Drosophila melanogaster: one gene and its partner. The protein of the gene in region 1 interacts with the protein of each later gene in a pairwise test. Each region holds a gene or a part of one and is shown on either strand. Other genes may lie near its edges.

The links. The genes of interacting proteins can lie anywhere in the genome.
Region 2: the proteins of CG10589 (region 1) and Phm interact in a two-hybrid assay, tested with the Drosophila melanogaster proteins (one large-scale study listed by BioGRID).

Annotation. Positions count from the first base shown.
Region 1 is NT_037436.4:20,925,379-20,930,413, reverse strand, and holds CG10589 (uncharacterized protein), read right to left. Parts: upstream 2,567-5,035; 5' UTR 2,464-2,566; coding exon 1,303-2,463; 3' UTR 1,224-1,302; downstream 1-1,223. Other genes in the region: fng (fringe), read left to right, coding at 2,567-2,705, 3,541-3,715, 3,779-4,014.
Region 2 is NT_033778.4:23,986,822-23,991,210, forward strand, and holds the start of Phm (Peptidylglycine-alpha-hydroxylating monooxygenase), read right to left. Parts: upstream 1,635-4,389; 5' UTR 1,482-1,634; coding exon 1,293-1,481; intron 855-1,292; coding exon 797-854; intron 734-796; coding exon 646-733; intron 589-645; coding exon 516-588; intron 488-515; exon of another isoform or gene 463-487; coding exon of another isoform or gene 1-462. Other genes in the region: CG30178 (uncharacterized protein), read left to right, coding at 1-462; Pask (PAS kinase), read left to right, coding at 2,010-2,097, 2,166-4,389. UniProt on the Drosophila melanogaster protein: Monooxygenase that catalyzes an essential reaction in C-terminal alpha-amidation of peptides. Produces an unstable peptidyl(2-hydroxyglycine) intermediate.

The DNA.
Region 1 (5,035 bases):
ACAGAGAGCGGACAAACCCAAAATAAACAAACAGTGTTCGACACGGAGAATCGGAGAAAAGCCACCATCAGCGATCCCCTAATTGATAACCCGAATCGAAAGAACCACCGAATGAAAACATTTTCATAAATGCCAATGAAATCAAAGAGGGGGACTGGCGTTAATTAAACGACATCGAACATAAACCAGCGTCTAGATTTCAATTTGGAAGCAGGGAAAGCAGCTGCCTATGAAAAACTAAAAAGAGGGGGAACTAAAAAACGGAGGGGCTGTGCTTTGTGCATAATTAAGCAAATTAAACGCGCATTTTTATGCCTCACGTAGAAACTAAGGGTTGGGGTGGGCGAGTCGTAGATGTAGGAGGGGTAAAGAGGTTGTTAAAACTCGGGGAGTTGCGGCCTTTTCGCACAGGTATCGCATGTGGCAGCCGCAACAGCAGCCAAAGTCGTAGACAACAGCAGCAACATCATCCGACCAGGCAATTTATGAATGCCAGGCTTTGGGAGTAGCATCGACTGACTATCTGAGTACCACACACATACACACGAAACTCCACCTCCTTGTCTACTCTAGTCTTATGCAATAAAAATTATATTAAATTACCCAACAGACGCAACGACAAGAAACCCAAGACCAGCCAATCCTCCAAGATTCGATTTTATTGAATACTTACGAGCTCGGCGAAAGTCGCGAATCCCCAGAAATGTACTTGGCAAGTCGAAGAAGATGATACTCTACACATGTACAGAAATATACATTTCTTTTGAACCATTTATTGGTTTTAGCTTCTAGTAGTTACCCTTAATATCCATTCAATGTAAGTCCTTATTTTAACAGATACCTGTCCGCTAGATATCCACAATATTGCAGCCAAAATTTAAGCAGAAAGCGTACTAAATCTGATTACCCGGAATTGCAGTGTATAAATTTCTCTTTATCGAGCCTCCCCTTTGCGGAATCCAAGTAAATTCCCGCGTTACCAATATCATCTTTAAGGGGATCCCCTCAACGAAAGGGGAACTGCACCCATAGCGAAGCCTACGATAATGATGGTCAGCGCGGACCTTTCAGCTGCCGCTTAATGCCATCATTAGTCCACCGTGGGCTACCGGATATGGCTGATCGTTTGTCACTATAAAAACTGCAGCTGCACTCTGGGCTTTGCAGACATAGCTCTTACCTTCAACCCGGGTAATTGCAATCTAAATTAGTGCACTTTTTATATGCGGCTTAACGGACACAGCCTTGAGTTGTATTCTTTATTGCGGAAACTAATCGATTTGGATGGCGACTAGCTGTAAGTTATACTGGGTAGTGGTCCTGACCGGATATACAGGAATTACGAACGCCATAGATGGCGTCATTAGCTTCGGGCAACTTGCAGACTTTGCCAGAGGCAGGACGAGCAAGACGTTGGGAGAGGACACTCAGATCAAGGTTGTTTACTCGCACCATTAGGGTAGGTTCCTTCTCCACAGATCTACAGACCACGATCTTCTGACAATTTACCGGTGATCCGGTTAACTTGGGAGGCAGGTGCCTGACCGGAGCGTCCGGGAATAGTCCCATGGTTTGAGGACCGACGTCGACACCCACTTTGGGACTATTACAGGATAGACAAGATAGCCCCGTATTGATAAATCCAGCGGCCCTGGGACATGCATCCTTATCCTCAATCAATCTCAGCCGGCGATCTATATCATCGAAGCGATCGCGTATATACTTCTTAAGAGCAGGCATATGCACCTTATCCAGCTTGCTGTCGAGCATATCCTGCAGTTCCTCCATGGTTCCCAGAAAAGTAAGGTTGTATTCCTGAACAAGAGTCCTCAGACCTTCGATCTCCACCACACATTGCTTGACTATTTCCAAACGATTAAATAAAGCTTCGGTTTGCTTAAGAAAAGCCTCAAGTGTGAGGTAGAACTTCTCCAGCTTGTGGCTGACCTCTTCCATTCGGTCCAGAATGGGTGTGGCTATACGTCGCATTAGCTTTTTCATGAAGTCCATGTTGGCCAGCAGACTGCATGCGATCTTGTTGTCCTCATCGCAAACGGTGCACAGATCCTCGCAAGGAGAGGCGTACTGTTCGGCCTGGTTGATCTTGTACTTCTTGTCCTTGGCCTTGTTGCAAATGCGAATCTGCTGAAAGTGACACTCCAACTTGCACTCCAGCTGCTTGATGCGTTTGTCCAACTCTTGAACTTTATCCAATTGCTCGGAAATTGGAACAATAGCCTCCACGTCGAAGGGCAGTGGAGATATTTTGGATTGCTCGAGAATGCGCTCCATACACTTGCCCTCGAAGCCACTTATCCTTACCATATCATTCTGACAGTTCAGTTTCTTGAGAAGGACATTCAAAAGACTTTGGAGTACAGCCACATTTACGTGGGTTAACTCGGGCACACCCAAAGCAATCCTGGTCATTTCCTCTAGGGTTAAATCCAAATGAGCTGGCATTTTTGCACGTTTTTAATTGTTCAAATATAGTAAAAGAAATATAAGAATTTTAGTTTGAGTGAACTCGAATTCGAATGTGTTTAACTCTGATACTGTTTTCCAGGTGGTTCTGTCACTTCGACGATGACAACTATGTCAATGTGCCGAGGCTGGTCAAACTGCTGGACGAGTATAGCCCCAGTGTGGATTGGTATCTGGGCAAGCCGAGCATCTCGTCGCCGCTGGAGATCCACTTGGACAGCGTAAGTGCAAATGCCAGTTATTTTTGCATATTTTCCTATATAGTTCGTAATTACAAGCCTGACTGCGATCGCCTTTCTCCATCTTCTGGCCCGGCCCAAAAGCCGAACCGTGGCCGTTATTTATGTTACCACCAGGGCCATTTGTCTATGCCGCCATTTGGCTTCCAGCTGCCAGCGCAAGCTATCATTAATAACCGATATGATCTGGCGCGGCAAAAGAGTAACAGCAATAGCAATAGCAATAGCAATAGCAGCAGCAGTCTGTATACGAGTCCCAGTTTGAGTCCGAATTTGAACCCGTTTTTCAGTCCGATCCATTTGATATACCGCGAGCTGATCCCGTAATGAATGTACAGGCCATAGTTTTATCGGTTTAGCCAGGTTTGCCAGGGATGTGAGCAAAAGCAACCAGGTAAACTGCGTGCTCAGAAATCCATTCAAAATCTGGCACACCAAACCAATCCAGCCCTGATCGCTGCAGCGTGCATAATTAAAAACCCCAAACTTTACGCTTCATTTGCGGGAGAAAGATCCTGTCGAGTCTCGGCTTACTTTTGGTCCAGACCCATGTATTAAGTTTCCAGCTCGCACATGTCCATTTACATGGTCAATTAATCAAGCCACGTTTCGGTATTAAGCTTCTTTTTCGGTTTTCATTTCGAGTCAATTTTCTCTGGGCCATTGCCAAAAACCAGAAATAAGACGAAGATAAAAAAAAGGATATTTATTTGGGTTTAGCCTTTGGTTTAGTCATCCTCTTTTTTTGGGCTACCCATTCATGAACCAGTTCTTCCGTTAATCTTGGCCCTCTTCTCCACTTTCTTTCGACCTGCAGAAGAACACGACAACAAACAAGAAGATAACCTTCTGGTTCGCCACTGGCGGCGCTGGCTTCTGCCTCAGTCGAGCCCTGACTTTAAAAATGCTACCCATAGCAGGTGGTGGCAAGTTTATCAGCATTGGCGACAAGATACGTTTTCCGGATGATGTCACAATGGGTTTTATTATTGGTGAGTTTGTGCGGAGTAAGCCAAAGTGACCCTGAACTTATATATATATTATTTTATATACAGAACACCTTCTGAAAGTTCCTCTAACCGTGGTGGACAACTTCCACTCGCATTTGGAGCCCATGGAGTTCATACGCCAGGATACGTTCCAGGACCAGGTGTCCTTCAGCTATGCCCACATGAAAAACCAGTGGAACGTGATCAAGGTGGACGGCTTCGATATGAAAACCGATCCCAAGCGCTTCTACTCCCTGCACTGCCAGCTTTTCCCCTACTTCAGCTTCTGCCCGCCCAGATGAACTGGTTGATCCCGATCCGAGGTCCCTGGGGATCCTATTTGGCTGTTGCAGGCGCACGTCTGCACTGGGTCGGTTGTGAACCGCTGGGGCAGGCGTCAAAATCAAATCTCGCCACTGTGATTTAACATTAAGTTTATAGTATACGAGCAACGAAAGGTTCTTTGTATATATATATGTAGCAATACGCTGGACAGATGTGCTTCCTAATGGTATAAGTAATACTGTAGCTGTAGGTCTTGCAATTCCAACACTTCCAAGTGCTTCCCTATAGCGTTACACGCGATTCTTCCAATCGGCTTAGTGCGTAGTTAAATTAATGGTCTAGTCTACGTTTAAGTTATCTTAGATTCAGAGAGACCGCTTGACCCTCTGCTGTGTAATACTGTAATGCAGTCTAATGTTTGCCTAATCTAGCAATATGCATGTATATAGTAGATTAATTAACTAAGCAATGTTTAAACCATTTTGTTAATTTTTAGTTTGCTTGAATAAAACAGAATATTTTATTGAAAAATTTGTGTTGAATATTGATTATTTCACAAATGTGACAAAGTCCTGCAAAGAACTTTGATGGCAGTTAAGTAATAATATCACATGTACAGTACCCCCTCTGCGCTTCTCAATGTTATTAGGAACGTAACAATATCAAGAAATGTCAACATCCCTTTTAGTTGATGGTTGTTTGAAGTTAAATAAGTTTTCAGTAAAATGGTTCTAAGAGTGGCTGACTCTGTTTAAAAATCCCAGTGAATGACTATACTTCTCTTAAGCTGGCTCAATCAAGCGATAAATGAACTGGCACAATGGCTTATAATGGTTCTTAAGTCTCCTGGACATGAATAATGTTGGCCATTTAAAATTCGAAAAAATCCATTGCATGGCAGACAGAAATTTGGAATGCAAATCTCCCCCAAGGGTCCTTGAACTTCGTTGTTTTCGACTTGTTAGCCCATCGATGTTGCTGCGGTCGGCCGGCTTATCAGTTTCGTGTAAACGAACATTCTGTCTACTTGTTGTTTGC
Region 2 (4,389 bases), on another chromosome or scaffold:
TGCGGCCTGGTGGTTGATCCTAAACTGTTTTTCGCGGTGGACGACGACGTGGTCTGCAGCGAGTGCTATCTGGACAAGCATGCCGCTCGGTGCTCCGCCTGCCGGACTCCGATCCTAGAGCGCGGCGTGGCTGCTGCGGAGCGCAAGTGGCACGAAAAGTGTTTCCGGTGCGTGAGCTGCAGCAAGTCGCTGGTCTCGGCGAGCTTCTTTGAAGTCAACGGATACCTGTTCTGCAAGGCGCACTTCCGGGAACTGTTTTCGTCCCGCTGCGCAGGCTGTGAGAAGCCAATCGATCGTCGAGCCGTGGTCGCGCTGAGCACCAAGTGGCATGCCAAGTGCTTTAAGTGCCACCACTGCCGCAAAAGGATCAGCGCACGGGAATTCTGGATCGAGAACGGTCAACCCATTTGCGCAGCCTGCCAAACTGTAGTCCCGAGTCCCCGAAATTTGTCGGCCCAATAAATGTGTGGTGTCTATCTGGGGGCCTATTTGGACATTTCTTTTTCTTTTAATACCTGGGAATTGGAGTGGGGTCCGCAAGGACTGGCAGACTCTTCTTGGGAAGCTCGGTTCATCTCGCCACAGTTCCTGTGAGCAAAAATGTGCGTGTTATTTACTAGTCTGAAAACATCACTTGCAACTCACCAGGTGGTCTTCGAGGTTCCGGGCTCTCCGCATCCGTAGAGCAGCATATGGTGGGCCGTGTTCATCGTGGCATTAGGATTGAAGCCAACTATTTAAGATAGAAAGGTTAGTTGAAGTATTTAAGGAATGAATCTCATTCGAAAGGACGTACCAATATAGTAGGTGGTAGTTGGGTCGACCTTGATGGGCGTGCACAAGTACAGATCGGGCTATATATGTACACATATATATATTTGTTAGTTTTGTTAGAGAGAACAGGCATATTGGATAAGTCAACAAGTATTATTCAAATGGGAGTATGGCCTTCAGTGGGCCGTTTGCCCTTTTTCGCCACCCTCGTAAAAACAAATTCGTATCTACGGCGCAGGTTCGAGAAGTGCAATCTACAGGTTTCGGTTTCAGGGCCTTACATGTGGGTGGCGAATTGTGTGTATTCGGGTACAACTGAACATATGGAAAAATTTGCACAGTACTCTTATGGGTTTTCCCCGCGCGGAAGATACGGGAAAAACCAGAGCCTATATCGAGGACTTTTCTAATCTGATTGGAATTGTATGCGCACAGCTGCAGCTGGGCGAATCTGTTCATCCATATGGAGCGAACTCCATGATGTATATGTATGGCGTTTTTCAGGAACCTGGACTTACGGTCTGGGGCGAAACGTTGGGCATCAGGAATGGAAACGAAGCCGTTGCGCCTGTTGCGGAGTTCGACTCGAGATTCTGTTGATAAAGGGAGTTTTGGTAATCCCCCTCTTTCACAAGGCCATCCACACTGATCACTCCGATAAGCAGGAGCAGCCCCACGGAAGCGGCTATTTCGGATATGCGTGGCATTTTCACCGTATTCGAACTATATTCGAGTGTGCACTGCACTGAATACTTTGTGGAAAACGAAAAAAAACCTTCCTGTTTGGAAGAACAATACGTTTTGTATTGCTCTCTCCGATATTTTTCCACACGTAGCTAGGCCCAGTTTATATGTAAGTAAGTGCGTTCTAGGCAGCAATCGATACCCAGAGCCATTATATCGATGACGGCGCCAGGGCTGCAGGCTAAGGGTTAGCGGGACATTCAAATATATATAACTTGTTCGCATTAAAGTACATAAAACCAAGTGTAATTTTCAACCTTTCGAATACAGTGATTTAAAGACACCTCAACGCAAAAGGAAACCCCACAAAAGCCAGCCCAATTCAACGTGTCTGCGTTCCGTTCGACCCACTGGGGAATTCCCCTTTTCGCATGCGCCATTCAATTGATTTTCTACGAGCAGAGTTCCCAATGTTTACGGTGCGCTCATTTGGTTGTAGCTGTAGGCCTCGAGTTGGAACCGCTGGGACTTGGAAAACATACGACGCTTAAATGGAGGATCAGGGCGACGTGACAGACCAAGCCGCTGGTAAGCTGAGTAGTTCGAATGCCCAGTGCTCCAGAAACCGATGTGCTAATGGTAAAGCTATATAGATGTACACTCAAGAGCGGTACTAAATTATTTACAAAAAATCGTGTAATTCCCAGATGACCCCATTATGGGCAGCCACAGTCAGAGTCGCCAGAACTCGTCCGGCATGCTGAACATGATGGACGCCAGCTCCTTCAGCATGCCCCCCCCCAATCTGCACTCCTCAAAGGTGATCAACCCGAACAAGGCGATATTCACAATCGACGCGAACACAGGGCAAATTTTTATAGTGAACAACAAGGCCTGCCAGCTGCTGGGCTACACGTCGCAGGAGTTGAGGAACAAGGGATTCTTCGACCTGCTTAACGGCAAGACAGAGAGCCACATCTCCTCCCTGGCGGAGATGCAGATCGAAGGCGATGAGGGCCGGGTCGTCCTGCTAAGTGGAAAGGTCATCGAGATGAAGACCAAGTCGGGCGGCAAGATCCTGGTCTCTCTCTGGATCCGGCAGATCAGCAGCGATGGCCGACACATAGCCGTCGCGGAGCCTGTGGAGAGGCATATTTGCCACATCAGCACCGATAGATCCGGAGTGATAACATCCGTTGACTCCACCACGGCCACCATATTCTTTTATGAATCCGTCGAAAGCGTGGTGGGTGTCAGCATTGTCACCCTTATCCCGTTTATAAAGCTGCCCGATCCGGATAGCCGTGAGATCCCCAAGAGCCTGCGGAAGCAGAGAGCTACTGGTCGAACTACGGATAACGTAAAGTTTCCCCTGTGCTTGCTAATAGCCCTGGACGAGGATGCTTCTGCGGGGTATTCCCATTCGGGAAAAACCGGTCTAAATATCACCGTCTGGGTGTTCCAGAATCTTAGTGGCCTGATTGTGGTAGATGACATAGGCAACATACTGATGTGCAACCAGCCTTTCTCGCTGCTAATGTTCGGATATGGTCAGGACAAGATAATGAACATGCATATATCGGCGATCCTACCCAATTTCGGCAAGGACTCTCGCGAGGAGAAGAGTCCGAATGTTTCGAACACCTCGATAACCAGTAACGACTGGGAGCCGGACACGGATCCCCTCGTCGTGGACAACGACTCCTCGCTGCAATCCTGCAAGAAGAGCTCGACTAACAGGACGGCGCCCAACAACGAACAGTCTTCGGTGGGCGATGCCCACCTAAGCTGCAATCTGGAGAACAGCAGTGGTCTATTCTGCGACCTCCGCCAGCCAGATGATTGTACAATAGATGACATTCTAACACCTGTAAATGCCTCAAACAGTTTCCCCGCTGACGAGTTTGAGGTAGGATCGCAGTCGCAGGTGAATGAGTCGTCCCTTGACAAGGCGAAGTCCGCGTCCACGGAGACCTGTGATGCCTCCGGCAGCAATCCCGCCACCAGACTGCTTAGTTCCATCAACGGAAGCTTTGTGGGGGAGGCCATTCACGCCGATGGCTCCGTCATAGAGGTAGTCTACTCCGTGCTCCTCCAGATACTGCCCTGCTCCAACCGGGTGTACTGCATCTGGGTGTGCCGCAACCCCAGCACTCGGCTGGACGGTGAGAAGTACAACTATGCAAACCTAACGTCCACATTCAACAGCATGGCCAGCACTGTTGAGCAGTCGCTGGGCCAGGTGATAAAGACCACCGCTGCCCAGAACTCCAGCAGACCCAATTCTCTGTCCTTGGTGTCCAAGTACGAGGACGAATTGTACCTGGGCGACTACAGCAAATACTACACGTCCATCCGCCAGATCGGAAGAGGAGCCTATGGGTATGTGAATATGGCTTTCCGGAACAGCGACCGCCTGCTGGTGATCACCAAGTTTATTCTCAAGGAGAAGCTCTGCTCTCAGTTTATGGTTAAGAGCCGCGACTGCAAGGAAGTTCCTATCGAGATCCACCTGCTGCAGACCCTGAACCACAAGAACATTGTGTCCGTTCTCGATGTTTTCGAAAATGATCTATTCTACCAGCTGGTCATGGAGAAGCACGGATCCGGAATGGATCTATGGACGTTCATAGAGCGGCGGCCCCTGATGGACGAAAAGCTGGGAAGCTACATTTTTCGTCAGGTGGCCGATGCCGTCAACTATCTGCACGAACAGAAGATACTGCATCGGGACATCAAGGACGAGAACATTATAATTGACCAGAACTTCACCATAAAGCTGATTGACTTCGGATCGGCGACCTTCATGGAGGAGGGAAAATTCTTCTCCACGTTCTACGGCACGACGGAGTACTGCAGTCCGGAGGTTCTGGCCGGAAACAGATACGTGGGTCCCGAGCTGGAGATTTGGGCCCTTGGTGTGACGCTTTA